Macaca mulatta: one gene and its partners. The protein of the gene in region 1 interacts with the protein of each later gene in a pairwise test. Links are inferred from orthologs where the notes say so. Each region holds a gene or a part of one and is shown on either strand. Other genes may lie near its edges. The genes, in order: FLAD1, PRTFDC1 and TRIM23.

What was found.
Region 2: the proteins of FLAD1 (region 1) and PRTFDC1 interact in binary tests that used the Homo sapiens proteins (3 or more experiments, as listed by UniProt). The two-hybrid records come from large-scale screens. The link is inferred for Macaca mulatta from reciprocal best matches to the Homo sapiens genes FLAD1 and PRTFDC1.
Region 3: the proteins of FLAD1 (region 1) and TRIM23 interact in binary tests that used the Homo sapiens proteins (3 or more experiments, as listed by UniProt). The two-hybrid records come from large-scale screens. The link is inferred for Macaca mulatta from reciprocal best matches to the Homo sapiens genes FLAD1 and TRIM23.

What each region holds. Positions count from the first base shown.
Region 1 is NC_133406.1:112,014,775-112,025,193, forward strand, and holds the start of FLAD1 (FAD synthase), read right to left. Parts: upstream 6,153-10,419; 5' UTR 5,826-6,152; intron 5,294-5,825; 5' UTR 5,150-5,293; coding exon 5,069-5,149; intron 2,122-5,068; coding exon 1,377-2,121; intron 673-1,376; coding exon 525-672; intron 74-524; coding exon 1-73. Other genes in the region: CKS1B (cyclin-dependent kinases regulatory subunit 1), read right to left, coding at 10,199-10,251. UniProt on the Homo sapiens protein: Catalyzes the adenylation of flavin mononucleotide (FMN) to form flavin adenine dinucleotide (FAD) coenzyme.
Region 2 is NC_133414.1:26,382,822-26,393,332, forward strand, and holds the start of PRTFDC1 (phosphoribosyltransferase domain-containing protein 1), read right to left. Parts: upstream 5,792-10,511; 5' UTR 5,761-5,791; coding exon 5,713-5,760; intron 4,836-5,712; exon of another isoform or gene 4,779-4,835; intron 1-4,778. UniProt on the Homo sapiens protein: Has low, barely detectable phosphoribosyltransferase activity (in vitro). Binds GMP, IMP and alpha-D-5-phosphoribosyl 1-pyrophosphate (PRPP). Is not expected to contribute to purine metabolism or GMP salvage.
Region 3 is NC_133411.1:73,707,157-73,717,405, forward strand, and holds the start of TRIM23 (E3 ubiquitin-protein ligase TRIM23), read right to left. Parts: upstream 7,128-10,249; 5' UTR 7,095-7,127; coding exon 7,014-7,094; intron 1,043-7,013; coding exon 880-1,042; intron 1-879. Other genes in the region: TRAPPC13 (trafficking protein particle complex subunit 13), read left to right, coding at 7,871-7,916.

The DNA of each region.
Region 1 (10,419 bases):
TTCCAGCTCAGGGAAAGGGGAGATGCTGCGGATATACAGGATCTGGAGGGGGTTTGGAACATCAGGTAATTTCCTGCGGAGGGGGAAGAATCCACAGGCTTGCCAGCATGGACAGGGAAATGGCTCTCCTGAAACAGCTCACTGTTCTCTTTGGCCCCTGGAACAGACTCCCACCCCTTCTCTCTTTTCCTTGTCCTTTCCATCCATTAGACCCACTTCCTCTGGGAAGCCCACTCTGACCTTTCACCTCTCAAATCTAAACACGCATCCCTGGTTCAGGTATGTAAATCTCCCATCTCCCCAGTGGACTGTGACTTCCCTGTGGTCAGGGATAGTGGCCTGCACATCCATACACAAGGCCAGGCACATATCATATGCTCAATATGGTGGGAGAATGGAACTGAGAGATCACCAAGACTATCTCCCCCTTGAACTCCACCTATACACTCCCTCTCCCCTTGCTTTCTGGGATGTGGAACTGGAGAAACAGATCAGGGGTCTTGTCTCCCAGGGGGCAGGCTCACCTCTGCACAGCTGCATGGAAGAGGTGCAGGAGGGCGGTGCAGTCTTTGCCCCCGTTGAAGCCCACACAGAGCTGGGTGAGGCTGTACTGAGCCAGGGCGGTCTCAATGGTCTGTAGGGCACCTGCCACCTTTTCCCCCAGAGAAGACCCTGCCAAGCAGGCAGGGAAGAGGGCATCAGATGGACACATATGGCTATCAAAGGGGAGTGAAGGCATGCTGCCCTTGCTTAAACCCTTCGATATCTTCCCAATTGTCTGAGGATAAAGTCCAAACTCCTTCATGCTGCTCACTAGGCCCTGCAGAGTTGGCCCCTGACCTGCCATCTGCCACCCAGCCACACCTCACGGTAGCCTCAGTGTCATTCCTCCGTAGCAGGGGGCGTGGGGTGTGGGCTTCCTTCCATTCCCCTAAACCCCATGCTGCTTCCTTGCAGGCCATCATTCATACTATTGGCTCTTGCCCACCTACTAGACCAAATCCTCCTTATCGCTCAGTTTATGTCACTTTGCCTTCTCTGACCCCAGATCAAGGCTGATCTCCCTGCTGTGGGAGATCACTCCCTTCATCACCCCATGCAGGATCACCTGTTTAATGTCCATCTTTCTTGTTAAAACACTCGTCCACAAGAGCAGGGCATACATTATTCTTTTGGGCTATATTCCCAACACCTAGCACAGTGCTGATGAAAGTAGGTACTCAATCAACGTTTATTGGAAGAATAATGAATTAACAGAAGCTATCTTCTGCCCTCCCTGGGATTTGCAGGAAGCACCCAACAGCCCCTGCATTACTGAGATCTGGGGTGGCACCAATGGCTTTGGGCATACTGCCCCTCCTCCATAAGGTCCCTACCTGATTCAGCGAGTTTGTATACAGCCTCACTGGCCTGCTCCACGGCGTTGGGCATGTAGGGGACCAGCGATCCCTGGGGCAAACGGGCAGTCAGGTAGGCCAGGCATTCCTCCAGGGGTCCTTCTTCCTCTGAGTCTAGAGTCAGCTTCACCTGATAGTAGTTGCTGCCCCAGTCAGGGTAGGAACCCAGGCCAAGCCTACGTCCAAAGTGGGCCTGGGCCTCAGCCAGAATGGGGGCAATGGAGGCTTCATCAGCAGCCACATACAGCTCCTTTGAGTGGAACTGAACAGCTGGGTTTTGGAACAGTCCCTTCAGCCCCTCCAGCACCCGCTGCAGCAGCTCTGGAATGCCTGGGAAGAGGTAGACATTTCGGACGGAGACCAGTGGGAATCTGAAGGGATGACCAGTGCGAGGATCTGTGCCGTAATGCAGGCGGGCAGAGGAGGGCACCAATGACAGCTTCTCCCAGCCTTCCCCTCCTAGGGCTTTGGTGGCTGCTTCCAGCTCAGGGTGTGGCTTCAGCTCATCCCCAAAGGCCCGTGCCACTGCCTCAAAGGTCACATCATCATGAGTGGGGCCGATGCCCCCTGCTGTGAGGACATGGGTGAAGCGGTTGGAGAAAGAGGTGACCTCAGCTGCAATGGTGGCTACCTCATCAGGTACAACTGAGACTCGGCAAACCTGGACCCCTAGGGAGCGCAGTGTCCGGCACAGAAAGAAGGTGTTGGTGTCCTGAGTGTGTCCCTGGGGGTTGAAGGGGAGGATGAGGCCGTCAGTACTGTAGGGATGAAGGGCAGGGGGTTGGAGATGATGGCTGCATCCACCTGATGATGCAGTGCTCTGCTCTTTGAAGGACACCACCTCAGGCTGCTGAGGGGCCTGGACTGGACACAAGAGTGGGAAAATCCATTTGTTTGTTTTTAAAGCTGGGTCTCTGTCACCCAGGCTGGAGTATAGTGGCTCAATCACAACTCACTGCAGCCTCAACCTCCTGGGCTCAAGGGCCACCTCAGCCTTCCGAGTAGCTGAGACTACAGGTGCGTGCCACCACGCTCAGCTGATTTTAATTTTTTTTTGTGGAAATGGGGTCTTGCCATGTTGCCCAGGCTGGTGTTGAATTCTTGGTCTCAAGTGATCCCCCTGCCTCAGCCTCCCAAAGTGCTGGAATTACAGGTGGGAGCCACCACGCCTGGCCTGCTTTCTTCTTTCTGTCCCCACTGCCACCAAGCAGGTCCTTAGCACCTTTCACCTGGACAATGGCAACAGCTTCCTGGCCAGGCTTCCAGCCTCCAGCCACAGTGCTCTGCTCTGTCTCCTCAGTAACCTTTATTAATGCGTCACTGTGATTGCATCACTCTTGGACTTAAAAGCCATTTGTTGTTTCCAAATGTATACAGAATAAAGTTCAAATTCCTTTGCAGAGTATTTGGGGCTGTCTGTGGCGTACACCCTATCTTCTTTTCCAGCCCCATCTCCCTCTAATTGTCTACAATGGGTTTAGTGGTTAAGGGTTTGTGTTCTGATGGCCGGGCGTGATGGCTCATGCCTGTAATTTCAGACCTTTGGGAGGCTAAGCGGGGTGGCTTGCTTGAGCTCAGAAGTTCAAGACCAACTGGCACAATATGGTAAAACCCCATCTCTACAAAGAAATAAAAAAAACTAGCCGGGCGTGGTGGCACATGCCTGTAGTCCCAGCTACTTGGGAGGCTGAAGTGGGTGGACTGCTTGAGCCCGGAAGGCAGAGACTGCAGTGAGCCGAGATCGTGCCACTGTACTCCAGCCTGGGTGACAGGGACCCTGTCACCAAAGAAAAAAAAAGGGTTTGTGTTTTGGAGTAAGAGATTATCAGGCATTAGGCTGGAATCCCATCTCTACAACTTCCTAGGTATGTAACCCTGGGCAGGTTTCTCAACCTCTCTGACCCTCAGTTTAATCATTAATTGGGCTTTTTTGCTGACCAGGTGTGGTGGCTCATGCCTGTAATCCCAGCATTTTGGGAGGCTGAGGTGGGAGGACTGCTTGAGCCTAGGAGTTCGAGACCAGCCTGGGCAACATGGTGAAACCCTGTCTGTACACAAAAATACAAAAAATTAGCTCTAGCCTGGGTGACAGTGAGATTTTGTCTCAAAAAAAAAAAAAGGCTGGGCAAGATGGCTTATGCCTGTAAACCCATCACTTTGGGAGGCTGAGGTGGGAGAATTGCTTGAGGCTGGGCTGTTTAACATTGTGAGAACCCCGTTTATAAAACAAACACACACAGAAAAATAAAATTTTAAAAAAGAAAAAAAGTGCCAACTTTGTAGGGTTGTTGTGAAGATTAGTAAAATCACATATATGTGATGTATAGCACACTGCCAGGCTCTAGTAGGCACTTAAAATATAAGGGTCATCACCCTGGCCAAAATGGTGAAATCCCGTCTCTACTAAAAATACAAAAATTAGACAGGCGTGGTGGCAGGTGCCTGTAATCTCAGCTACTTGGGAGGCTGAGGTGAGAGAACTGCTTGAACCTAGGAGGCAGAGGTTGCAGTGAGCAACCATTTGCACTCCAGCCTCAGCAACAGGAGCGAAACTCTGTCTCACACACATACACACACATACAAAAATAAAAATAGGGGGTCAGGGCTGGGTGCGGTGGCTCACGCCTGTAATCCCAACATTTTGGGAGGCTGAGGTGGGTGGATCACTTGAGGTCAGGAGTTCAAGACCAGCCATGGTGAAACCCTGTCCATCCCTACCAAAAATTAAAAAAAAAAAAAAAAAAAAGGGTCTATTAAGGCTGAGTGCAGTAGCTCATGCCTGTCATCCCAACTACTCGGGTGGCTGAGGCATGAGAACTGCTTGAACATGAGAGGTAGAGGTGCAGTCAGCTAAGATTCCACCAATGCACTCCAGCCTGGGCAACAGAGTGAGACGCTATCTTAAAAAAAAAAAAAAAAGACAAATTTACAAAGAATATTAAAAAAGATTACTATTAAAACTTGACATTTGGCCAAGCTCGGCGGTTCATGCCTATAATCCCAGCACTTTGGGAGGATGAGGTGTGGGAGGATCACTTGAGCCCAGGAGTTTGAGACCAGCCTGGGCAACACAGTGAGACCCTGTTTCTGCAAAAAAATAAAAATAAATTAGCCAGGTGTGGTAGCTAACACCTGTAGTCACAGCAACTTCAGAGGCTGAGGCAGGAGGACTGCTTGAGCCTGGAAATGGAGGCTTCAGTGAGCTGTGACTGTGCCACTGCATTCCAGCCTAGCTGACAGAGCAAAATCCTGTCTCAAAAATAAAAAAACCCTTGTCATCCTTGAGTCATTTCCAAAAAGGCTGAGTAAAACTCTTAAATATACAATACATACACCTGTACCTCCTCTACTCAAGGGGCTTCCTGTCATTGTTGTGTAGCCCCTCTGCCCTCTACCATACTGCTTGGTAAATTGCAATGACCTTTTTATTTTTATTTTTCTTCAATCAGCTCTCAGGTTGAAAAATTGTAGGGACTTTGCTACAAGTTTTTCAGTAGAGTAATTCAAAGAATGAGGGTTAATTTTCCTTCAGTATGCTGCATCCACTCCAGGATCCTACTGCAGCAAGGAGGCTCCCACCCTGTCTCATTTCCCTCCATGGAGGGATGTGCAGCAGGCCCTTAAGGACAAGAGAACGCGGCGCCCTCCCCCCTTTTCTGTCCCAGACACACCTTAAGGATCTCATCTCCAACAATGATGATGCCAGCCGTCACGCTGCGCCCCGGGGAAAGTTCAGAGGCCCTAGATGTCATGGTCCTGCCTTCTCTGCCCCTCTGCAAGGCCCTCCAGTAGCCACCCAGACCCCCAAATAGGGGTCGCAAGCACAGGCGGCCCGCCAGGTCTACAGGGCACTGGGGGCCATAGCCTGGGAACAGGGGATCCTGGGTCGAGGGAACCTGGAGAAGCCAGAAAGGACAATGGGGGAGAGCAGGCGTGCACGTTCCTCCTTAGAGGAAGACCCTAGTCTTCTCTAACCAGATCCTTGACAAGCGACTCCTTTATTCCTGCCTCTTTAATAAACGTGTTCCCCAATCCCAACCCATGCCCTTTTTTTTTTTTTTTTTTTTGAGACAGAGTCTGGCTCTGTCGCCCAGGCTGGAGTGCAGTGGCCAGATCTCCGCTCACTGCAAGCTCCGCCTCCCGGGTTCGCGCAATTCTCCTGCCTCAGCCTCCCGAGCAGCTGGGACTACAGGCGCCCGCCACCTCGCCCGGCTTATTTTTTTTTTTTTTTTGTATTTTTAGTAGAGACGGGGTTTCACCGTGTTAGCCAGGATGGTCTCGATCTCCTGACCTCGTGATCCGCCCGTCTCGGCCTCCCAAAGTGCTGGGATTACAGGCTTGAGCCACCGTGCCCGGCCCCCATGCCCTTTTAAATGTCTTCTAAGCTTAACTCTAGTCTTAAAAACTCCTTCTCTCTTGAGAACCTACCGCTTTAAGTGTCTTCCGTTTGCTGAGCTGGTCTCCTCAAGTGTCTGCTCTATCTTGGACATCTGTATCCTTTTGAATGTCTCTTCGGGGCATCTGCCCCTTTAAATGTCTACGTTATCCTGGGCCTTGGCCCTTTTCAATGCATTCGCTCTCTCCACCCCGGACCAAAATCCCGTCTCTTTCTACTTCAGGCTTCTGCACCCTTTCTAGCCCTGAAATCCCTTGTCCCCACCAAGCTTCAGATTACTGAGGGCTCCTAGGCTCTCACCTGCCTGTTCTGCCCCTTCACCGGGTCTTTCCCTTGTTCCTTTCCTCATGTCCCGGGGCAGCTTCCGTACTTAAAGTCCCGCCTTATTCACACTTAGCTGACATTGAGTGGTGATTTTGGCTGTCGCTTAGACTCTTCCAGGGTCCCATTGGTATATTCAACTGTCGCTCTCAGGTTTTAGCCAGTGGGTGAGAGCAGGGCCTGATTGTTATAGGCGACAATCACTTGGCCACCCCTCGCCCGGAAATACGGGGGCCGGACCTTAGCCCACGATCGGGGGCGGGACCTCAGGAGTTTAGGGCGCGGGACCTCAGGAGTTTAGGGCGCGAAAGGAGCAGTGGTTGGAGGTGAAGTAAGGTCCTAGGGGTGTTTCTGGTGCTGGATTCAAATTATTGTTATGCATATGTTGCTTTGTTTTATTTAATGAGTCAGTTAGCCATGGTTTAAGCTATTTTCATTCACTGTGACTCTAACACTAGGCTAAGGGCTTTTGGAGTGAGCAGGGATCTTACTTTGTAGCAGAAGTTGGAGGGACACGGAGAAAGATTATCACCATTGTCTGTCGGGTATGAAGACCCTGGAGTAGGTGAGCTTTTGGTGTGTGGAACCTTAACTTATCTCTAGTATAATAGACAAAACTAATTACTTAAACCTCTTTGACAAGAAAGAGTCCCAAAACCCTCTCTTCCTCCACCTTGCTCCAGATGGTGCTTAGTTCAAATGACACCTTTCCCAGTTACTGGTCTTGTAGGTGCAAACGAGGCAGCGAATAGGGAGTGCCTTACATGTTTACTCTGGATCCTCACATCATCCGAGCTTACCCCCATTTCAGTTGCCTTTGGCCCAAACGTGCATCTTAAACTTTTTTCCAGTAATAATCTGGGGATCTTCTCATATGCAGATTGATTCAGTAGGTTTGGGTGGGGCCTGAGATCTGCATTTAGCTATTTCCCATGTGATGGTGATCCCACTGCTCTGTGGACTACATTTTGAATGGTAAGGGCCTGAATTCATTCTTTTTGATTTTTGAGGCGGAGTCTCGCTCTGTCACCCAGGCTGGAGTGCAGTGGCGCGATCTCGGCTCACTGCAAGCTCCGCCTCCCGGGTTCATGCCATTTTCCTGCCTCAGCCTCCCGAGTAGCTGGGACTACAGGCGCCCGCCACCACGCACGGCTAATTTTTTTTTTTTTTTTTTTTTTTTTGTGTGTGTGTGTGTATATATATATATATATATATATATATTTTTTTTTTTTTTTTTTTTTTTTTTTTAGTAGAGACGGGTTTTCAGCGTGATAGCCAGGATGATCTCGATCTCCTGATCTCGTGATCCACCCGCCTCGGCCGCCCAAAGTGCTGTAATTACAAGCGTGAGCCACCGCGCCCGGCCAAATTCATTCTTTGTAGGACTGCTAAACCACACCTTGTCCCAGCACTTTGGGAGGCCGAGGCGGGCAGATCACCTGAGGTCAGGAGTTGGAGACCAGCCTGACCAACATGGAGAAACCCCGTCTCTACTAAAAACACAAAAAATTAGCCGCGCGCGGTGGCGGGCGCCTGTAGTCCCAGCTACTCGGGAGGCTGAGGCAGAAGAATGGTGTGAACCTGGGAGGCGGAGCTTTCAGTAAGCCGAGATTGTGTCACTGCAGTCCAGCCTGGGCGACAGCGAGACTCCATCAAAAAGAAAAAAAAAACCCCTATGAGATACATATCATGCTAATTTTACAGACGAGGAACTGCCTCAAAAAGGTGAAGGTTTGCCACACAACCGCAAAACACTGTGGATGGTAGATTCAGGTGATCAGACGTCTATACCATTCTTTCAAGTAATAAGCCCCCCCCTCTTTTTTTTTTTGAATCAGTCTCTGTTGCTCAGGCTGGAGTGCAGTGACACAAGCACCGTTCACTGCAGCCTTGACCTCCTGGGCTCAAGAGATCCTCCCATCTCAGACTCCAGAGTAGCTGGCCCACAGGGGCGCCCCACCATGCCTGGCTAATTTTTGTATTTTTAGTAGAGACGGGGTTTGGTCATGTTGCACAGGCTGGTCTTGAATTCCTGGGCTCAAGTGATTCCCTGCCTTGGCCTCTCAAAGTGTTGGGATTACAGGTGTGAGTCCCCGTACTTGGCCCTCATTTCTTTCAATTATAAAAAGTCAGCTCTTTGAAAAAAAAAAGGGGCAAAACAGGAATTCCACTTGCCTAGTAAACCACATGTTCCAATATCTTTATTAGTAATACAGGTGATATTTGATCCCCTCCCAAAACAGAATACCAAGTCTGTTCCAGTATTTTCCCAGTGGATTCTCAAGCTTAAGTAAGTGTACATCAGAATCAGTCGGAGAGCTTGTGTTAAAACATTGCCCCGGTGCCCAACCCTGGGTTTAGGATTCACTAGGTCTAGGTTGGAGCCCAATAATTTGCATTTCTAATGAGTTTTCCCGATGTTGATGCCTGCTATTTTAGGAATAAGTGGATGGAAGACAGAAAAAATGGGGGAGATTAATATCCTTACTTAGTACTACTACTTTGTTAGACTAAAGGGGAAGTTATTATTCTGTGGAATGCTTTTTTTAATTGAGACAGCTTCTGTCGCCCAGGCTGAGTGCAGTGGCGTGATTTTGGCTTACTGCCACCTCTGCCTCTCGGGTTCAAGCGATCCTCTCGCCTCAGTCTCCTGAGTAGCAGGGATTACAGGCACACACCACGCCCGGCTAATTTATTTTTATTTTTTTTGAAGACAGAGTTTCACTCTTGTTGCCCAGGCTGAAGCGCAATGGCGTGATCTTGGCTTACTACAACCTCTGCCTCCCAGGTTCAAGTGATTCTCCTACCTCAGCCTCCCGAGTAGCTGGGATTACAGGCATGTGCCACCACGCCCGGCTAATTTTGTAGTTTTAGTAGAGATGGGGTTTCACCATGTTGGCCAGGCTGGTTTCAAACTCCTGACCTCAAGTGATCTGCCCTCCTTAGCTTCCCAAAGTGTTGAGATTACAGGCATGAGCCACCACGCCCGGCCTGGAATGTTTTCTTAAACAGCTACATTTTGCACCTGTTTTCTCAAAGCTTCCTTCTTTACCTACCTGCATAAGATGCCTGAAATCTTTGCCCCCAGTCCACACTCCAGACCAATTAAGAATCCTTAAGAATGACTCAAGCAGGCATCAGTACTTGTAAAGCTCCCCAGGTGATTCCAATGCCCAACCAAAGTTAAGAACAGCTGAAAACCTCCCCCAACCGAGGGGCACAGTGAATAGGTCATAGGTGTGCCTATTATTCCTATTAGGAATTGGGACACACAAGCATCCTTTTACCCGTGTGTGCCATTCAAATATTGGGACTATGTTAAAGGCAGCACCCCGACTGTAGGAAGCAGTTCATTTGTTTGGATGAGATGAAGTTGTCCCTATATAACCTCTACCTCGGGCCAGTAGTTAGAGTGAAATATGTTTCAGTAGATGTTTGACAGCAAGTCTGCTTAAAGTAGATTAAAAACGAGTTATCTGAATGTTAAAATAAACCTCATTATCAGCAAAGAGCTGAGCTTCATTATCAAACTGAAGGGCATGTAATTAGAACCATGATATTGATGATGCTCACCCTGAGTGAGGGGAAAAAACCCTTACAATTACAGCATTAGATTATAAAAACTTCCTCTTTAATCAAGGCTTTTAACATGAACAGATTTCTTGAATAAAATGGAAAGTTTCCAGTACACTGAAACATAAATCCACAAGTCACCATACATACAACACCCGGCAGGAAAAAAACAAAAACAGCAAGTTTACATGATCTCTGTTAACAGCCATGGTCTCAAACTCAGATGCTTCCTCCATCTGCCAAGTGTGTTCTGGATACAGAGCACATCGTGGCTTCTGGGGTCACACTCAGCTGAGGCTGTGGGTCCACAGAGCACTCATCTGGCTAGACTATGGTGGTGGTGGCTCTACTCAAGAAGCAAAGCAGTTACCAGCACATTCAAACAGTGTATTGAACATCTTTTAAATATCAAAGTGAGAAACAAGAAGGCAACATAATAATATTATCAGAAAGATGTTAGGAAGTAAGGACAGCTGTGTAAAGCTTGAGGCTGAAAAGTAGCTTGCCAGCTTCATTTCTTTGGCTTCTTGGGTAGTGGGCGCCGGAACAGCAAGATGTGAGGTTCTGAAAGAGTGAGGGAAATCTAAGAGACAAGCGCACACCATTCTATGTACAACCTATAGTGTATTCCACTACCATCTCCCCAGCTATCACCCACTCAGATCTTTATAACTAAATAAAGACTTAAGCATATGGCCTTGAGAAGCAGACCCAGAATCTGGACTGTCTGCC
Region 2 (10,511 bases), on another chromosome or scaffold:
TAACAACAAATTATATGTGTTAATTCATCTAAAGAAGTGCCTCAAACCTACATACCGGTCTTAGCATCTTAGTTAAAACTATACATTTGAGGCCTGGCACACTGGCTCATGCCTGTAATCCCAACACTTTGGGAGGCTGAAGTGGGAGGATCACTTGCCCAGGAGTGCGAGACCAGCCTGGGCAATATACCCCATCTTTACAAAAAAGAAAAAGAAATTGGTCTGGCGTGATGGCATGTGCCTGTAGTTTCAGTTACTTGGGAAGCTGAGGCAGGGGGATTGCTTGAGCCTAGGAGGTCAAGGCTGTAGTGAACCATGATCGCATCACTGCACTCCAGCCTGGGCAGCAAAGTGAGACTGTCTCAAGAAAACAAAACAAAAAGTATAAAAGTAAAAAATATATTTCTCTAAAACTGTTCTATAATCCAAATTGGCCATTATTTTCAATTAATCTGAAATAGTGAGTTTTCATTGTTGAGATGAAAGTCAATTCAAGATGATGGAAATACTGGTTTATGCTTTGTTAATTTCAATGGTGCATGCAAATTCTGTTGTAAATAAATTGAAACCTGTAGGAATGGAGGTTGCTATGAACTGTAGATAATTGTTATTCACGTGTTTTTTAAAAAATCAAAACCAGAGTCTGTAGATAGTTTCAGTATCACAGATAATATGCTCTAAGTGTATTCAGCACAATGCTTTCTCTGTTCAAAACAGCAAAACATAGCCAAGCTGGGGGAAGTGACAAACCCATGAACTGAGTCATTTTATGCAACATCCAAATCCCAGAACTCATTCTGATTCTCTTTTTCGCACTGAAGATGCACTGAAAACTTTGTAAGTCATTAAGAATATTTTTTTTTGTGCTTAGACTATTTTTTGCATTATTTTTCTCCCTGAGGGAGAAAACACATATAAGAAGCTAATCTCTACTCTTCTCCCCTGCTGAGCTCCACAGATTGACCCCGCTCTCTCCTTCAGGCCATAGCTCTCATCTGTCCTCCACCAGCAAGAGAAAGGGGGTCTCGTCCCTTCATTGTAATTCAAAGAATCCCAGACAGGAGTTCTGGGATTCCTGTCCCAGCCCCAGAGCCAGGGAGGGAGGTACCCTGGGAAGGGCCTCACCTCAAAACCACACATCTTGAAAAGTGGGGACAAGTGGTTTGCTAAAAGATTCCCAGGTTCTGCTCACAGAGGAACAAAGGAAGTTCGACAGGCCAACCACCTGGTATCCACATGCCTTCCTCTTCTGTGGTGGGTTTGCCCTTCCGAACGCAAACTCATTACCACCTAGTAGAGCTGTGCTTTCGATGGAGCTATACCTGATTACTTATCTCTGCTACTGCCATATTTTCACTGGGGGTGATGGGAAGCCAGCCATAACAGAAACACAACAATCATTTCAGCTTTTTCTCTTCTCCTGATTCCTACCAAACTCACTTAGGTAAGTACTAATGATGGCTCCCTTGATAATCCTTTGGCGAAAACCAAACCAGACAAAAACAAACAAACAAACAAACAAACAAAAACATGTCTAATAACCCAATCCCCAAAAGCCAGGTGGATAGAGAAGATCTTTCTCTCTCCCTGAGAAGTAACAAAGAGGTATCAACCAGGAATCTGGTGACTTTATTAGCTCCAGATCAAATGGCAAGCCAACTCCGAGCAAAATTTCTCACCTTAGGATCTACCTCTCTTATGTGGCAATTAGCATTTGCTACCATTTATTGTTAATGGTATAAATGTCCCACCTCCCCAGTTCAACTGAAAGCCATTGATAGGCAAGAGCCATCTTAAATCTCTTAATATTCCCTTCTCTTGCACAAACTTTACTTCTCGTTTCATGCTTATAACATCTGACTCTACATCCCTTGCCGTCTTTATCAACAAATTTCTACCAACTCAGAATTTTCTTCTCTACCTCATTCCTGGACAATTCCTTGGGTGATTTACTCCAATACCTACCTCGACAATCCTTCCAACAACTTCATCTTGTAGCTCCTCCACCAGCTCAAACTACATACCTAGCTCAAACCACATCTTTATTCCCCATTTAGCAATATATTCACATAGCCACACCAGTCCTACAGACAGCCCCAACCCCGAAGTTCCATCCTGGAATCACAGCTTCCTATGTAGCATAGTGATTGAAAGCTGGTTCAAATCCTACTACTGCCATTTGCTACTTATATGACCTGGGTGATTTACTTAATCTCTCAGTGCCTCAGTTTCCTCCTCTGTAAAATGGGGAGTATGCTAGACCTCCCTTACAGATTTGTGCTCAAGAAATGCTTGCTATTATTACCTGCCCTCTGCCCCTTTTTTGAGACAGGGTCTCACTCTGATGCCCAGGCTGGAAGGCAGTGGCGCGACCATGGCTCATTGCAGCCTTGATTTCCTGGGCTCAGGTGCTTCTCCCACCTCAGCCTCCACAGTAGCTGGGACTACAGGCATGCACCACCACGCCCAGCTAATTTTTGTATTTTTTGTAGAGAGAGGGTTGGCTGCCCAGGCTGGTCTCGAACTCCTGGGCTAAAGTGATTCACCCACCTCGGCCTCCCAAAGTGCTAGGATTACAGGTGTGAGCCACCACTCCCAGCCACCTGCCCCTTTTGAAAACTGGTACTAATTTGATATTTTGTATCCCATCCATGAGAGTATTCTATTCTCCCAGTAAACTCATCCTCTCCAGATTTCCCTTCCCTCCTGCCTTACCTGCCATGAGTTGCCTTCTACCAGCAGCTTCGATTGACTCTGAAATTGCCTGCTTATATCCAACTCGAGGTTAATCTAATTATTCCAAGTTCTACTGGAGAAAAGGATGTAAATGCAGGGACTATCTCCATTATACATGGACTATTTCCCACCTTGGTGGGCTCTCATACAAGCACCAAGCCCCATGGCAGCTGGTCCAGTTTATACTCATTTTTTTGTTTTTATTTTTACTTTATTTTATTTTATTTTATTTTTTTGAGAAGGAGTTTCACTCTTGTTGCCCAGGCTGGAGTGCAATGGTACAGTCTCAGCTTGCTGCAACCTCCACCTCCCGGGTTCAGGCAATTCTCCTGCTTCAGCCTCCCGAGTAGCTGTGGTTACAGGCATGTACTACCATGCCCAGCTAATTTTGTATTTTTAGTAGCAGCTAGGTTTCACAATGTTGGTCAGGATTTTATTGAACTCCTGACCTCAGGTGATCTACCCACCTTGGCCTTCCAAAGTGCTGGGATTACAGGTATGAGCCACCTCACCTGGCCCTCTATTCTCTTTATACCCCTCTTACTACCTCTTTGCATTTTTCAAAAAATTACCTTGCTTCCAGGAGGACCTCTGTTGACACCAATAGACTGGGCTATTTACAATGTTCTCTCACTTGTTTCTTAGACTTCAACAATTTACCTACTCTATCAGTGCATCTAGATCCACCTTATTCTTTTCTAAAAGTATCTAGTATGTTATGGTAGTACAAGTTGAGTACGCCTCACCCAAAATGCTTGGGACCAGATGTGTTTCTAATTACTGATGTTTTTTTTTTTTTCTTTGGATTTTGGAATATTTGCATTTACTTCCTGGTTGAGCATCCCTAATCTGAAAATCCGAAATCCAAAATGCTCCAGCCAGTATTTCCTTTCAGCATCATGTTGGCGCACAGAAAGTGTCAGATTTGGGGGCATTTTGGATTTTGGATTTTTGGATTAGGGATGCTCAACTTGTACTATATTTTAACTGTTCTACCAATGGAGTGGTTGTTTAAAAGATTCTCCCTACTAATGACTTTGTAATTGTTAAATACAGTGGCTGTTTTCCATCTTGGTATCCAACTTGCTGTCCCTGTAGCATCTGACACTTCTGATGACCTCTTGACACCGCCCCTCCCGCTCAACAATGCTCTGTTCCCAAGGCACCCACCACCCTGCCTGCCCTCCCACCCTTCAGCGTTCTTTCTCGGTTCCTTCAACCAGCTTCTCCCCCACAGGCAGCCTCCTACATTTGGGACTTTCCAGGCTTCCATCCTTAACAGTTGCTTTAATTGTTTTTTCCACATTCACTGAGCATTCCTGAACATTAAATATTATTCTTTCTGCTGATTTCCAAATCTCTCCAATCGCTCTCCTGAATTCCAAATGTGAATTTCACAAATTGCCTACAGTGCAGCCCGATCTGTGGGCCTTACAGGCACTGCAGACTCAATTTGTCCACAATGAACTTAGTGATTGCCCTTTTTGCGTTTTAGTCTCCCTCCCATCCATCACACCGCTAGGCTTGCCCCTCCTCCTGGGGCAACTGGAATGGTTTTTATAAAAGCATAAATCGGATACAATGATTCTTTTGCATTTGATATGCGGGTCTCCGCCTGCAGTCCACATGGCTACTCCTGTGTACCCTTCAGATCTTAGTTCAAAGGTCACCGCGGAGAGGCTGCCCTGACCACCTGAGCAAAAGCATCACTCCCCGCTTCTCCTCCAATTACCCTCTATCCTGTTACCCTCCTCCTATTGCACATCTCTACTGGAAATTTTCTCTATTTGTTTACACACTGCTTGCCTGTGTCTTCTCTAGAACGCAAGCTCATGAAGACAAGGCCTTTGTCTTTTGCACCCCAGCGCCTACAACACCTTCTGCAACCCAGCAGGACAATCAACTTGTGGAATGAATAAATAAATCAACACCTCATCCTTTAAGAAGGAAAGGGCCTGCTGTTAAATTAAGCACTGAGCCCCACATTTCAACCTGACCGGTTCTGTCTGAGTGTGTCACCTTTCCCTCCCCAGCCCACTTACTTTAGTTCAGGCCATTCATATTCATAAACAGATTATCTGTGAACGACAAGCTGATCCCTGGAAAGAGATGGCAAGTTAGCTCCACCCACCATCCTCACCACCATTGAGTTTCACATTGAACTTGACACAAGTTATAACCACCACCTTCTAGGAAAACCACTTCTCAGGGAGCAGGGAGGACGCGGCCACAAGGTCAAGAACGGATTAGATCCTAGCACACTGACCCTCTGGCTGACACCAACAGGAGTCTCAGTTCTGGGAAACCAGCATCCCACACCCTCCCATCCGGACACACTGCTAGATATTTTACATGCATCCTCCCAATTCGCTCCGGAGCCCAGCCTGCTGTTGCTCCCTTTTACAGACAAACCATAGGTCCCGCAGGAGCGTGTCCCAGAGCTCCTGCAGAGGCCTCCACTGCCAGAGAGCCCCCCAACCTGGGTACCAAAGGCTTCAGAGCTCAAGTTCTGTCAACTTGAGCTACTTTATTTCCTGGCTGCCTTCAAAACCCCTCAGTGTCCTTTTTAAAAACAAAACTTGAAGCCCGCTCTGGAAGAGGAGGCCCAGGAAGAAGGAGGCCTACAGAGCAGCACGCGGGTGTCTCGGCCCGGCCGGCTCCCAGAAGCTGCTCCCCGTGGCTCGCTGGGATGGGGACGGCTGGGCGCCGGCGGGACGCTGCAGGAGCGGGCTACCGGCCGGAGGACGCGGGGGGACGCTGGGAACTCGGGGTGAAGGGACGGGACTCGGCGTTTCCTCAGATTGGGGGCGGGGAGAGGAGGCCAGGGTCTGAGGATGGAAGCGATCCCCGCCAGGAGGGAGAACAAAGCGGTGGCCCGCTTTCTCTCCCGACGCACGGCAGGCATTTAATCTACAAGCAGGGTGCCAGGGAGGAAGGGGAGCGGGGCGAGCCCCAAAATCGGGAGTTTGCATTTACCACGACGCCTCGCCCGTAGTCTGGCGCCTCCTCGCTGCTCCCGGCCATGTTTCTCCCGGGGAACGCGGGAAGGGAAGACGGCGCGGGAAGGAGCTGGGAGGGCGAAGGTTGCGTGGGGGAAGGGACTTGGGGATGGGGACCCGGCCGCCCCGCCCCGCCCCGGGCCCGCCGGCTGGAAGCAGCGGCCTGGCGCGGATCCAGGGCCCCGGCGCGGCGCCCCCTCCCCTGGCGAGGCCGCGGGGGCGCGGGGAGCAGCTGCCAAGCCGCGACCGCTCCCCGTGAGCGCGGGCCCCGGGCGCGTCCCTCGCGGCCACCGCTGTCGCCGCCGCCGCCTGCCGGATGGTCGCCTGCAGCCCCCGGCCTCGCCGCCAGGCCCCGCGGGGACTCGGGAGCACGAGGCAGCCCGCGGCAGGAAGAGAACGTGTCCCCCAGGCCCCTGCTTCCCAGATCCACCGTCCTAGCCCTCGGGCTAACAATCTCCTTGGCTCTTCCCTGCCAGATTTCATGCACGCGATTGTCCCAAGCAGAAGCGTGAAAGAGCCTGCGAGCCGGCGTGCTCTTGGAGGATGGGCAAGTGTCCTGGATGTGTTTTCAAACCCTGGAGCCGCCACCCACCTCTCTCCACCTCCCCTCACCTCCCTCCACTTCCCCTCACTTCCCTCCACCTCCTCTCACCTCCCTCCACCTTCCTCCGCCTTTCTCTGCCTTCCCCCCATCTTCCTCATCCCAGGGCCTGGAGCTGGAAAGATTACACCCGATTGCTTTTAGGGTGGCCCAGATCTGCAGGGATCAGATCTGGGCTTTCAGGATCCGGCCTTTCAGCCTTTGGTCAACTGCATTCAGGGGAGGAGGGGGAGAGATTTTTTCACATTCTCTGCTTTACCAGTTTTGCAAGAACATCTGGTCAGATTGTAATTGTTCCAGGTTGCAGCTTTATTAAAGCAGTCACTCTCTTCTGATTAGAAATCCTTCTCGTATGAGTCTGTTGTTCATTTCAACCCCTCTCACATCCCTGTGCTCCAGTTCTTTGTCCACTCCTGCAGGGTCCTGCTTTTTCTGGGTGTGTCTTCAGTCCCCAGGTCCCTGACATCTCATCAGCATCTTCATTCACTCAACCCAATTCAGGTTGAAGGCCTGAATCCAAGAGAACTGAACACAGTTTTCCTGATGCAGGCCTCTTTTGTTCATCTTCGGATTCTGGCACACAGAGGGGAGAGGAATGCTGATTTTGCCTAGTTTAAAGGGAAAATAGTTATCAATCGGTTAATGACGTTCTAGATTGGAAAAATATTAGTCATTCAGACTTGGCGCCCTGGTCCTGCTCAGCAGGGCTGGCTCTTCGTGTCGTTTCTAAGCACCACTGCCTTGGAGGGTGCAGCTCCAGAGATCCTGAAATCAGGCTTCTGCTTGGGAACTGCCTTACAAAAATGAGGGGTGTTGTTTCCCAGCGCACAGGTAAACATTTTCTCTTAGTAATTGTCAGAGGGTGTTGTTTTGAGCCATTTTTGTAGTCTGCCTCTCACTTCTTTTCCCCAAAGTCAAGCACCATCTTCCCTTTTCATTTTCAAAGACCAGGCCCAGGAACCATATTCACCAGCAACTTCATTAAAATTTCCAGGAGCTGAAAAGTGCTATCATTAGGGTGGTGATCAAACTTGAGAGTTCAGGACTCTCTTGGGGAGCTGTTTAATGCAGCTTCACTGGGTGGGGAAGATCTGTGGAAGCACCTAGAATCCTGCACCTGCTGAGAGACACCAGATGGGTGTGATGTGGATGGCTCATGACCTGTGCTTTAGGGGATTCTACTAGACCATCTTACTGCTTGGATATCAAACTTAGCCATGAGGCTCAGTGTGGATACAGGGCCAGATTAGGGTGTACAAGGAACTTCAAAATATGTCACAGGAGTAGTTGCCATGCAGAAGTCAAAAAGCGACAACTTTGGTTCCAGCCTAGACACTATGGAACATGTAAGGGAAATGGTAGATAAATCATCTTCCCTTAGAAAGGCTATTAGTTTAAACGTAAAATCCAACAAGTTCACAGTGAAAAATGAAACTTGCTTGAAAGGCAACAATTATGAATGTGTGCTCAAGAACATCCTACATAGACTTATACAGGTCATCCTATAAAGGGCACAGAATGATGAGTAAATAGTTTTTTAAAATCTAATTCATTTTCTTTATTATCTTTGTATATTTTGATAATATTTTGTGCAGTCTGATTATACTTTGATACTTTGGAGAGCATTAACATAATACAAGATAATACTTGATAACCCAAACAGTATTTGCAAAGACCGGTATCCAGAAATAACAGCTCATCTGTCCAGGCTTTATTCTTAATCTTGCATTATGAGGATTTAGAGGCAAAAATTCTTTTTAAACCTCAAATTTCTCTTATGTGTTGTATTAATCTGTTCTCATATTGCTATAAAGAACTACCTGAGACCTGGATAATTTATGAAGAAAGAGGTTTAATTGACTCACAGTTCTGCAGGCTGTACAGAAAGCAAGGCTGGGAGGCCTCAGGAAATTTACAATCATGGCAGAAGGCAAAGGGGAAGCAAGCATGTCTTACCATGGCAGAGCAGGAGAGAGAGAGAGAGAGCAAGGATGTAGTGCCACACACTTTTAAACCATCAGACCTCGTGAGAACTCACTCACTATAACGAGAACAGTATGGGAGAAATCCACCCCCATGAGCCAATCGCCTCCCACCGGGTCCCTCCCCCAACATTGGTAATTACAATTCAACATGAGATTTGGGTGGGGACACAGAGCCAAACCATATCACATATCTAGTAGAATAGCTTTGGACTAGGACCTCTTTTTCTGTAACAATCCATGTTACTTTAGCCAATGAGTCTAAGCCAATTATATCAGTGTAATATACATCAATTTTCTCATCTGTAAAATGGAGCAACACATTTATTCTCTACTGCATATGATGATGAGATGAACGTGAGATAACATACAAGAGAATTCTTTGCAAAATGCTATGAAACTGTAATATATTATTAACCTGAGATGCTGTAAAAATGTATGACCAAATGTTTGTGAAATTATTCCATGTGAAAATGACAAGGAATTGTCTTTTAAGGTTGATGGGGCTAGGCACTATGACTTACACCTGCAATACCAGCACTTTGGGAGGCCAAAGCAGGAGGCTCACTTGAGGCCAGGAATTCAAGACCAAAGCTGGGTAACATAGTGGGACCACATCACTATAAAAAATTAAAAACTTAGCCAGCTGTGGTAGCATGGCACCTGTAGACCTAGATACTGGGGAGGCTGAGCTGGAAAGATTGCTTGAGGCCAGAAGTTTAAGGCTACATTGAGTCATAATTGCACCACTGCACTCCAGCCTGGGTGACACAGCAAGACCCTGTCCCTACAAATACATAATAATAATAATAATAATAATAATAATAAAAGATCGATGTAAGGTGAACAATCAGGGATAGTTATAGTCTAGGAATAATCTAGAGCTGGTATGAGAATAAATACAGAAAAATGATAACATTATTAAAATAATGAGATTTTCCATAAAAAGGGATATTTTAGCTCAGACTGTCCATTTCCTTTTCTTTTTTTTTCCTTTCCAACTTTTATTTTAAGTTCGGGGGTACACACGCAGGTTTGTTTGGGAAAATTGCATGTCACAGGGATTAGGTGTACAGATTATTTTGTCACCCAGGTAATAAGCATAGTACCTGATACATAGTTTTTTAATCCTCACCCTTCTCCCACCCTCCACCCTCAAGTAGGCCCTGGTCAGACTGTCCATTTTCTAATATGCCTTTGAAGGAGCTATAAGAATAAAGATGCGCATCTTTGCAAAGTTAATAACCAGCCAATATACTTGCATTTTTCTGTCATTCTCTTTATTACCTTTTAGCAGTAGGTCCCCTGCATTTTATTTTATTTTTTTTTAGTGTTTATATTGTGTTCACTTACATTTCTTTTTTGTTTTTTTTAGTTTTATTTTTAATTGACACATCATAGTTGTACATATTATCTATGGGGTACAGTGTGATATTCCACTACCTGTGTACATTGCATAATGGTCAACTCAGGCTAATTAGCACACCCATTATCTCAAGCATTTTTCATTTCTTTGTGGTGAGAATATTCAAAATCGTCTCTTCTAGCTGATTTGAAATACGCAACACATTATTGTTAAATATATCACTCTACTGTGCCATAGAGCAGGCGTCCCCAACTACGGGGTTCCAAACTGTGGTCTCTTAGGAATTGGGCTGCACAGTAGGAGGTGAGCGTTGGGCAAAGCATTCCCACCTGAGCTCTGCCTCCTGTCAGATCAGCAGCTGCATTAGATTCTCATAGGAGCACAAACCCTATGGCGAACTGCACACAGGAGGGCTCTAGGTTGTGTGCCCCTTCTGAGAGCCTAACTAATGCTGGACGATCTGAGATGGAACAGTGTCATCCTGAAACCATCCCCCTCAAAAATCTGTGGAAAAATTGTCTTGCACAAAACCGGTCCTTGGTGCCAAAAAGGTTGAGACCTCTGCAGTAGAGTACCGGAACTTATTCTTCTCATCTGACTATAACCTAATGCCTACTAGCCAACCTCTCCTACTCCCACCACTCCTCCCCACTTTTCACCTGACTCTGATAACCGGTATTCTACCAGAACTTACTCCTCTCATCTAACTATAACCTAGTACCTACTAACCAACCTCTCCTACTCCCACCACTCCTCCCTACCTTTCAGCTGACTTTGCTAACCAGTATTCTACTCTCTACTTCTATGTGATCAACTTTTTAAAATTC
Region 3 (10,249 bases), on another chromosome or scaffold:
AAAACCTTAAAAACCCTTCTTTCTCCAGAAAATATTTTAAAACCATGTTTCTTAGCATTTTAAAGTCTTCCAGCCTAAAATTATAGGTACTCTTGCTTCCTTTTTTGGTGGATAAATTATTTTTAATGTGTTCCACTTGAAAAATAGTATGAATATATTAAAATTGTCTTACATAGTGCAACTGACCTGAAAAAAAAAAAAATGGCAACCTTAAACTCTTTTGGAGAAAACTCCCTTATCAAAAAGAGTAAACTTACAAAACTTATGTTTGTAAAATCATTGTTCAAATGTTAGTAAATGCTATTATTTCCAAATCTGGTACCTGAAAATAACTTAGTTTGAAATATATAAAGCAAGTGTTAAAAGTATACAGAAAACCAAAAAAAATCCACAAACCCTTCAAACTCATTTTAACAGAAAATACAGAGTAATTATCACAAGCTACAAACACTTCTGTCCTTGATATTAGTAAATAAAAACATGCTGAGACTCAATGACTTATCTGTATTTTCATTATTGGCTTATTTATTTGTAAAGAAAACATTGTTTTATTGGGTTAATGGCTTCAGGCAAATGATTCATTCTGTGATGCATATTCTTATTTATTTGAATCAGGGTAACATGTTTTTCTCAGGTGTCTTAAAGCTCTTTACAGGTAAGTATTGAATATAAACATCTCAGAAGACAAAATAAAATTAGTAACTAAGCGTGAGATAGTTTATAGCTTGAAGATTATTCACCTTAATAGAAACTCAGGCTTTCTGAAACTTTCTGGGAATTTTATCATTCTAAAAATCAAGTGGAAGGAAATTGTTTTCTATGACATTTGCATTACATGAACAATTTTCAATCTTAAATCCATACAAATACTTTTCCTACCTAGGTCTGTTACTTGTCGATCAAATGGGCAACGGATTGCTCTTCCATGAAGAGGTAGGCGAGTGAGACAGTCATGACAGACTGTATGGCCACAAAGCAAAAGGCGAGGAACTTTGTCTCCTTGCAAAGAAAAGACGTCTTCACAAACTCCACACTCTAGCACCTAATATTTGAAAACGAAGGATGTACTCTTTAAACCATTTTAAAAGCATACATATTTTAGGTATATAAGAAAATTCACCTAATATATTGAATCAACATTGTTACTTTATTCCTCCATGAAAAAGAACTATGTAAGTTGTAAAATCTTAAATCACTTTTAAGTCATTCCATCTGACAGACCCTGCCAAAATTATATCGTAACGAAATATCTTTGAAATACTAATAGTAGTGTTAGGGGCAAAGATGCTGTAAACTAACATCTTCATTATCTTTTGAAAATTATGATTTCACTCATTACATCTGAATCTGTACAAACAATATGTAATTCTACTGAAGGCGGGTTCTTAAGCAATTTCTCTGCAACTACCTAACCCATCATTAATTTCAACACAAATAAACTATCATTAATTTCAACAAAAATAATCTAAAATACGTGCTAACAATTACCCCTGTTAATGATAAAGAACTTGTTAAGAAAAGACTACAACTAACTTTCATGTTTCTGGTATCTAATGTACATTAAATAATACAAAGTCAAAAAAGCAGTCACCTTAAATTTCAATTCCTGTGCTCTATCAATAAATATAGCTCTGAATCAGAAATTAGTTTGTCTATCTAATTCTAGTTACAGACACATGACTTGCACAAGGCTACACAGTCAGTCAAAAGAAAGGCTATTTATCAGCATATTCTGATTCTCAAGTCCATATGTTTATGTTTTATAAATAGTCAACAAATTGTATTTATAGCAATAAAGCATTTTCAGCACTTATTTCTAAGTATATTTGTAGTGTTTCATTAATTTTTTTAAAATACCCACTGTACTATTCAATCATACCTCAAACTCCTGTCATTCAAGACCCACTACAATCTGGTCCCTGTTCTACTGCTTCACTGCCACACTCTTCTGACCCTGTGCTCCAACTATATCCAACAGCTTATAGTTCTCAGAACATGAGAAACTGTTTCATGTTTCTTCATGCTAATACTGAGGAAAGGACTATACTTGTCCTTTGGGCCCCCAAGTACTCTGTATAAGTGTCTACCATAACACCCAAAATGCTTTAATACCTTGGTTTTCTAGTCTGTCTTTCCCTGTTGGACCAAAAAACCCTCAGGAACAGGGTATTTTAAATACCAAGTTCCTAGTGCTTACATAAAGTCTAGTAAAATAATTTAAAAACAATTAAGCTCAACATCATCAAACACACAACACAAGGTAAAAAACAGAAAACCCAAGGCAGAAATCAGACTAAATCTACTACGATTTTAAACCTAACTCTGTAATTAACTTGGACTTTGGGCTTGAGATACAAATATCTTTCACCATGAAGTGATAATTCATAATTGCTTTGTATATTATTATGGTTCAAAAGAAATTTAAATTTAGTCTTTCAATGTAAATAAGGGTTTGGGAAGAGAAAAATAAATAAAAATAAGAAACAAAAAAAATTGTTCACAGAAAAGACGATGAAAATTCTTTACATGAAAAGATGTTCAATCTAACTCATAACAAGAAAAATGCAAATTAAGGCTAGGCACGGTGGCTCATGCCTGTAATTCCAACACTTTGGGAGGCCGAGGCAAGTGGATCATCTGAGGTCAGGAGTTCGAGACCAGCCTGGACAACACGGTGAAATTCCTTCTGTAGTAAAAATACAAAAAAATTAGCCAGGCATAGTGGTGGGCGCCTGTAATCCCAGTTTACTCAGGAGGCTGAGGCAGGATAATCGATTGAGCCTGGGAGGCGGAGGCTGCACTGAGCCAAGATCACAGAGTGAGACTCGGTCTCAAAAAAATAAAGAAACAAAAAAATGCAAATCAAAGCTACATCAAATACTTTTTTTTTCAGATTAGATCAAAAATGTTGGTAACACTTTGTTAGTGAAGGTGTGGGAAAGCAGACACTGTCATACATTACTAATTGCTATGAAATGTTTATTGAGCAATACAGCTTTTATGAAGGGCAACCTGTCAATACTTACCAAGTTTAAGTAACTCAGTAATTCTAGTTGCAGGAATTTATCCTACGAGCATATTAGACATGTGTGACAAAATCTGTATGTTAGTCCTTAAAGCATCATTTGCATTAGCAAAAAATTGGAAACAAAGTAAATACACATCAATATCAGCTTGGAAAATAAATTATGGCACATTCATAATACTATAAAACTATATAGGATAGTGAGAAAGATGACGTTTTTCATGTACACACAGAATGATTTCATATGATTAAAACAAAAATGATAAATAGAATATACTCATTTTTGCATAAAGGTGGGGAAAGAGCAAATTTTTATATTGTTGTATAAACGTACTGTCTTCCTGGAAGGATACATAGGACACCAGTAACACTGGAACATCGGTTCCCCATGAGAAAGAGAAACAGCTAGGGAACAGCTACCCATGTATAATTCTATCTATTATTCATATATACACATACTTCAATTCATCCTACATTTTTTAAAAAGGGGAAAGTTTCACGTTATCAAATCCATTTAGGTCAGGCACCGTGGCTCACACCTGTAATCACAGCACTTTGGCACACCAAGGCAAGAGGACTGCTAGAGGTCAGGAGTTCAAGACCAGCCTGGGCAACACAGTGAGACCCTGTCTCTACAAAAAAATAAAAAACTGAGGTGGGAGGATCACTTGAGCCCAGGAGGTTGAGGTTGCTATGAGCCATGATTGTGCCATTGCACTCCCACCTGGGTGACAGAATGAGAACCTGCCTCAAAAAAAAAAAAATTCAATTAAATATAGAAAAAATATTCACAGGCCAGGCGCGGTGGCTTATGCCTGTAATCCCAGCACTTTGGGAGGCCGAGGTGGGTGGATCACGAGGTCAGGATATCGAGACCATCCTGGCTAACACAGTGAAACCCCATCTCTACTAAAAATACAAAAAATTAGCCGGGCACGGTGGTGGGCGCCTATAGTCCCAGCTGCTTGGGAGGCTGAGGCAGGAGAATGGCATGAACCTGGGAGGTGGAGCTTGCAGTGAGCCGAGATTGTGCCACTGCACTCCAGCCTAGGCGACAGAGCAAGACTCCGACTCAAAAACAAAAAAAATCACAATAGAATTTGATATAAAATAAATGCAACATTTTATAAATGCTGTATTAAAACTCTAATAAATTAAATTTGTTTATAAACTCCAAAGAACCATATTAAAATTTTGTTTAGTTCATTTCAATCCTGTATCTCTGATCCCACCACTGTACAAGATTTAAAAGAATTTCCTTATGCTGTTACCGTATTTTTCAAAAAGCACTAATAAAATTCCATTGATTAGCAAACCAAACACAGGTCCGAAAATAAAGTTACTAGACTATTTTGCATCAACTTGGTAAATAATCCAGCAAGAAAATATTTCCTCAGTATCTATGAATAGGAATTGTGGTTAACAGCAAAAAGCCCTAGATAGGAAAAAGCTCTTAATTTTACATTTCACAAAATGCCAAAACAGCTTCAAACTTATTACATGTAAATCAAACTGTAATCAATCAGATTTTATATATATATATATATTTTTTTTTTTTTCTTTTTTTTGAGAAAGGGTCTCACTCTTTCTCAAAAAAAAAAGGGTCAGCCAGGCTGGAATGTAGTGGCCTGAGCATGGTTCACTGCAGCCTCGACCTCCCGAGCTCAAGCAATCCTCCTGCCTCAGACTCCCAAGTAGCTGGTACCACAGGCATGTGCCACCATGCCTGGCTAATTTTTTTAATTATTATTTGTAGAGGTTGGGTCTCACTATGTTGCCGAGGCTGGTCTCAAACTCCAGGGCTCAAGCAATCCTCCCACCTTAGCCTCCCAAAGTGCTGAGATTAAAGGTGTGAGCCACTGTGCCCAGCCTCAGACTAAATTTTAAAAGGCCTAAGAAGACTCACTAAGCAAAACAAACTGTGATACATTTTTACATGTCAGTTATTTCAAAATATCAGATTTTTTATTTTTTATTTTTCAGATGGAGTCTCACTCTGTCACCCAGGCTGGAATGTAGTAGCACAATCTCGGCTCACTGCAACCTCCCCCTCCTGGGTTCAAGTGATTCTCCTGATCAGCCTCCTGAGTAACTGGGATTAACAGGCCCACACCACAATGCCTGGCTACTTTTTGTATTATTAGTAGAGACAGGGTTTGGCCATGCTGGCCAGGCTAGTCTCAAACTCCTGACCTCAAGTGATCAGCCCACTTCGGCCTCCCAAAGTGCTTCCCAGGCACTTTGTGCTTTACAAACGTGTGCCACCGCGCCTAGCCATATCAGATTTTTATGTTACTGGTTTCTCTAATGATAAAAACCATGTAATTATCAACTTGTTCACAAGCACAAGGCCATTTTACACAGTATTAGCATTATATACTTCAATTTTTACCTTCCAATAAATACTTATTGCTTTCATCTATACAAATGACAGTAAGGTTTTTTTCAGTTTATACCCCTATAGCTACTACAAATTATGGCATGAAGATTTTGTCAGAAAGGACTATTTTATTGCACAGTTCAGGAACATTTTACATGTTAAGATGAAAATGAACAAGGTGAGCCTCTGATGTATCAAATTCTGTGCTGTAACAAACTGGAGTTACATCAGGCTTTGGTACACTTTTGAGACTATAAGGCAAACAGCGTAACAACAAAATAGATACTGCAATGATACCCCTTCCAATTATGAAATAAAACTTAAACTTCAAGTTAATTCACAAAGTACTCTGCAAGTATTCTCTACTTAGCAAAAGCACAATTCAATAAATAAAATCTCAATCACACAACATGCCTAATAACGAGGGCTCTTTTGCGTTATCAGATATGCTGTGCACCTGTAGAATAACTTCATTACTACCTAAAGGTCATCTGAATCAACGACCACCAATACTGACTGATACTAAATTGTGGGAAGAAATGTCTCACTTGCTGTCATACAAAACCAACATTAACTGAATAATCGTAGGTGTCTATTTTTCAAGACGTTAAAAGAACTTCATATATTATCCTGTTCGGTAATTCTTAACCCTGGTTACATATTAAAATAACTTATGGGCATTCCTAAAATCTACTGTTGTTGTCAACCTCATCAGAACTGGAGGAGGAGTGCATCAGTAGTGTACTAAAAATCTTCAGTGATCCTAATATGTAGCCAGGAATGAGAATTTTCAATCTCTTAGATTAGAGATGCTCCCGAAGGTTACTCTATAAAACCAATGAGATCAGTTCTCCCCTCCAGATCTCTCCGTGCACAAGTGTGGAAGGGAAAAATGACTGCCACATATTTCAAATGATTTTTTAGCAAATTCATTCTGGAGCATTTATACATGGTAGAATCTCAAACTTCAAGCATAAGGAAATTCATTAACTCTATCGTTAACGCCCAGCTATGACGATGTTGCAGACTTCTGAAAAGTGTTAATAGACTGTACTACTAACAGGAGAGAGGGCAGCTCAGCCAGTAACAGATGTCTCATTACAGACGCAGTACAATAGGGAAAAGCATAGGCTTTAAAGCCGGTCAACCCGGGGCTCTGCCACACACTGTGTTTACCTAAACCTGGATTTCCTCCCTGTAAAATGGGAATTAACATCTACTTCATAAGTAGATATTAACGAGCTAAAACACCTAACGTAGTACGTAGTTACGATGACGATGGGCCAATTTATAATACTAAGCTAACTAATGCCTGTTGAGTTTAACTAAAAGCAGAGGACCTGGAGAAAAGACCGGTCTAGGTCACTGGACCGCAAGCTCCTTTTCATAAATGTTCCGATTATGACATGTCATGAGCAGAAGACCAGGCAACTTCAGGCCATAGGAGAGAAAGGATGCAGAGGAGAGGACAAGACTTGTAAAGCCAAAAGGGGCCCAGAGGCCGCGCATCCCACCCATCGAAGCCTGGGCCGTGGCGATGCAGCCAGGTCTCCAGGATGAACCGAAGGGAGGCCAATGGTGGAGAACAGAGCACGCAAGGTCCCTCACCTTCACTACAGCTGTCCCCCGGCTGCCCTGCCGGCCACTGTCTACTCCCGCTCCAAGCTTGTTTACAACCAGAGTAGCCATCCTCGTAGGAGTAGCGCCACAGATGCAGCCTTCAGAGTCCTCAACTGAGAGGCGGGGTTAAGCCACCTACCCAGAGGCCTCTGCGCACGCTACCGGCGCACAGGCGCAGTAGGACACAGGGCGCCGCTTAGCCGACTCTTACTACTCCTCCCTGCAGTCGTGGGGTACTTCGTTGCACAGCCTCGCTCATGGGCACTTTTGTTATTTTTCATTACGTAGTCTGCAACTGCTGGAGGAAAGACAAGGGAAAAAAAAAAAAAGAAGGGATAAAACAGAATTAAAGTTTTGGGGTGAAACTCCAGCTCCTTTAATGATTTTTCCTCTCGAATCGCAAACCAACCAGGGTGTAAACTGAGGGCGGTGAAGGGATACGGGCATCTCCCTGCATGCAACGCGATTTTCGTATAAACTACAAATCCCAGCATGCCACTCTCTCTTTTATTTATTTATTTTTTTTAAACTCCGGCAAAGTTGGCCTTTGGGAGGCGGCGTATTGTAACCGAGGGGTGGTTTCTTTTCCTGAAGTCGCGATGTGCGATAGCAGATGGAAAACAAAGTGTTTTATGCATACGTTTCTAAGATAAAAGAAATGGACTTGGTGAGAAGAAGCCAGTCTGTAAAGAACACAGTAAGAAAATTTAAGGTACCACCACCGGAGAGAAGTTGAAAGTGCGTTTGACTTCTGGTCTTGCCAAACGCGAGGTTTTCCGTTTCCTTCCGGGCCAAGTTGAACCTGTCCAGCCCCCGTAGGCCGTGGGTCAAAAGTGCTGGTCAAAATGGAAGTGAATCCCCCTAAACAGGAGCACCTGCTGGCGCTGAAAGGTAAACTTTTGCGAACCTGAGTACCCGTTTTCTGTTTTCTTCCCTTCCCTATTTATCGAAGCCTTTGCCATGTAGGCCTCAGCCTTCTTAAACACCGTCAGTGCTCGCCCTCCTGCTCTGTCCTTTGGCGCCAGGCGGGAGGAAGCGATTTCGCCTGGATGCTTTTTAGGTTTACGGGCTCCTTTCTAGAATGAAATAGATACCTGGTAAATCACTCTTTCTGATCTATGCTGCTTCAGTCACGAGATTTTAGCGGCAGAAGCTGACGTCCCGCTCCTACCGTGGAGATCTCTGTGAACTAAGATGAATTACAGCGGGCATGTAAAGTGCTTTTTCCTTCTGTCTCTCGTTTCTTCCTGTGGCACTGACGAAGTTATCAGGCTTCAGTTTCCCCTGTAAAATTAGTATTGCATAACAGTAGTGCAAAGAATTTAGCAATATATAGTAATACAACATATAACTTAGATTTATTAAAAACAAACTGCAGTTTACTTCAAAGCACTGTGTATGTGGGAAATATGTCCGAGATCTAATGTCAACTCTCATTTTTTGTACACAGCCATTTTGAGTAAGTTTGGTGATTTAATTAGATCTTTATTTAGGAAAAAACAGCAGGCTTTTTTTTTTTTAGGACAATTTTTTTTTTTTTTTTATTTTTAATGCCTATTTTCTGGAAATCTTTTTATTTGAAATCTTTTCAGCTTTATTTTATTTTTTACTACAACAAATGCACTTTTTGTTTCTTGGATGCTCTAACACGGGGTTAACAATGACTTATTGAATGAGCTGAGGAAATGCTCAATAAACATTTGGGTTCAATTGAATTGCACTTATTTTACTTGTGGCATCCATTTTGAGGAACACATCCTTCCCATTATGATGTAGTCATCAGACATTCTAGAAGCTCATCAGTCTCATATAATGATGCCTGTGTTAGCGAGATTGTCTCTTACTGTGGAACTTTGTAATGTTAAGTTATACAGTGATGGGACCTCTAAGCTTAACCTGAGCAAATGATCTAGGCTAAAATGGAGACTAAAATGGATTGTTACTCGTGGAGAAGAGGGAAAAGAAGAAAAGCAACTAATTGTCATGTTCTTTATCTCGCGATCTCACTTCAAGTATGTGGAGTAAATATTAATTCTTAGAGTTTAAGCAACTTTTCCAAGATCACATAGCTAGTAAGTGATTGAGGCAGTGTTTCAACGCAAGGCCTACCTCTCTCTTTCCAAGAGTTCATGTTGCCTCCTAATGAATGAAACGGCATTCTCAGAAATAATTCCTCTACCAACTACTCTGATGGGAATTTGGAACAGTTCTATTAGCTGCTACGTGTGATTTATACAAATTAGAAGCTATTAAAAACAGTTGAATTCCAGCTGGGCGCGGTGGCTCATGCCTGTAACCCCAGCACTTTGGGAGGCCGAGGCGGGTGATCACGAGGTCAGGAGATCGAGACCATCCTGGCTAACACTGTGAAACCCCGTCTCTACTAAAAATACAAAAAATTAGCGTGGCTTGGTGACAGGCGCCAGTAGTCCCAGCTACTAGGGAGGCTGAGGCAGGAGAATGGGGTGAACCCGGGAGGTGGAGCTTACAGTGACCCGAGATCGCGCCACTGCACCCTAGCCTAGGTGACAGAGCCAGAGACTCCGTCTCATAAAACAAACAAACAAAAAGTTAAATTCCAGTGATACAGAGACTGCCACTGAGAATTTTTAGTTTTCTGTTATTCTTTGTTTTCCAAAATAAAGGATACCTAAGAAAGAATATTTCAGCAGCCTAAGCCAGGCGTGGTGGCTCATGCCTGTAATAGCACTTTGGGAGGCCGAGGCTGGCAGATCACTTGAGGTCAGGAGTTTGAGACCAGCCTGGCCAACTTGGTGAAAATCCGTCTATACTAAAAATACAAAAATTAGCCAGGTATGGTGGTGGACATCTGTAATTCCAGCTACTCGGGAGACTGAGGCAGGAGAATCGCTTTAACCTAGGAGGCAGAAGCTGCAGTAAGCTGAGATTGTGCCATTGCACTCCAGCCTGGGTGACAGAGTGAGACCCTGTCTCAAAAAAAAAAAAAAAAGAATAAACAGCCTAAACTGGTAAGTGCTTTAAAATTGATAGTTTCAACTTTATTAAACCTCTTTGGTACCATCTTCTAGTTAACCCATTGTTCTAGTTGATCAACAGTTTTCACAGCATTTCAATTTACTGATGCTGGATGCCAAATGTATCAATTTAAGTGGTCATTTAGGTTCACTTTATCTTTTAATATGTAAAATGTTAAAGATAATATTTTGTTATTCTTGGTTGGGTGAGGTGGCTGATCACTTGAG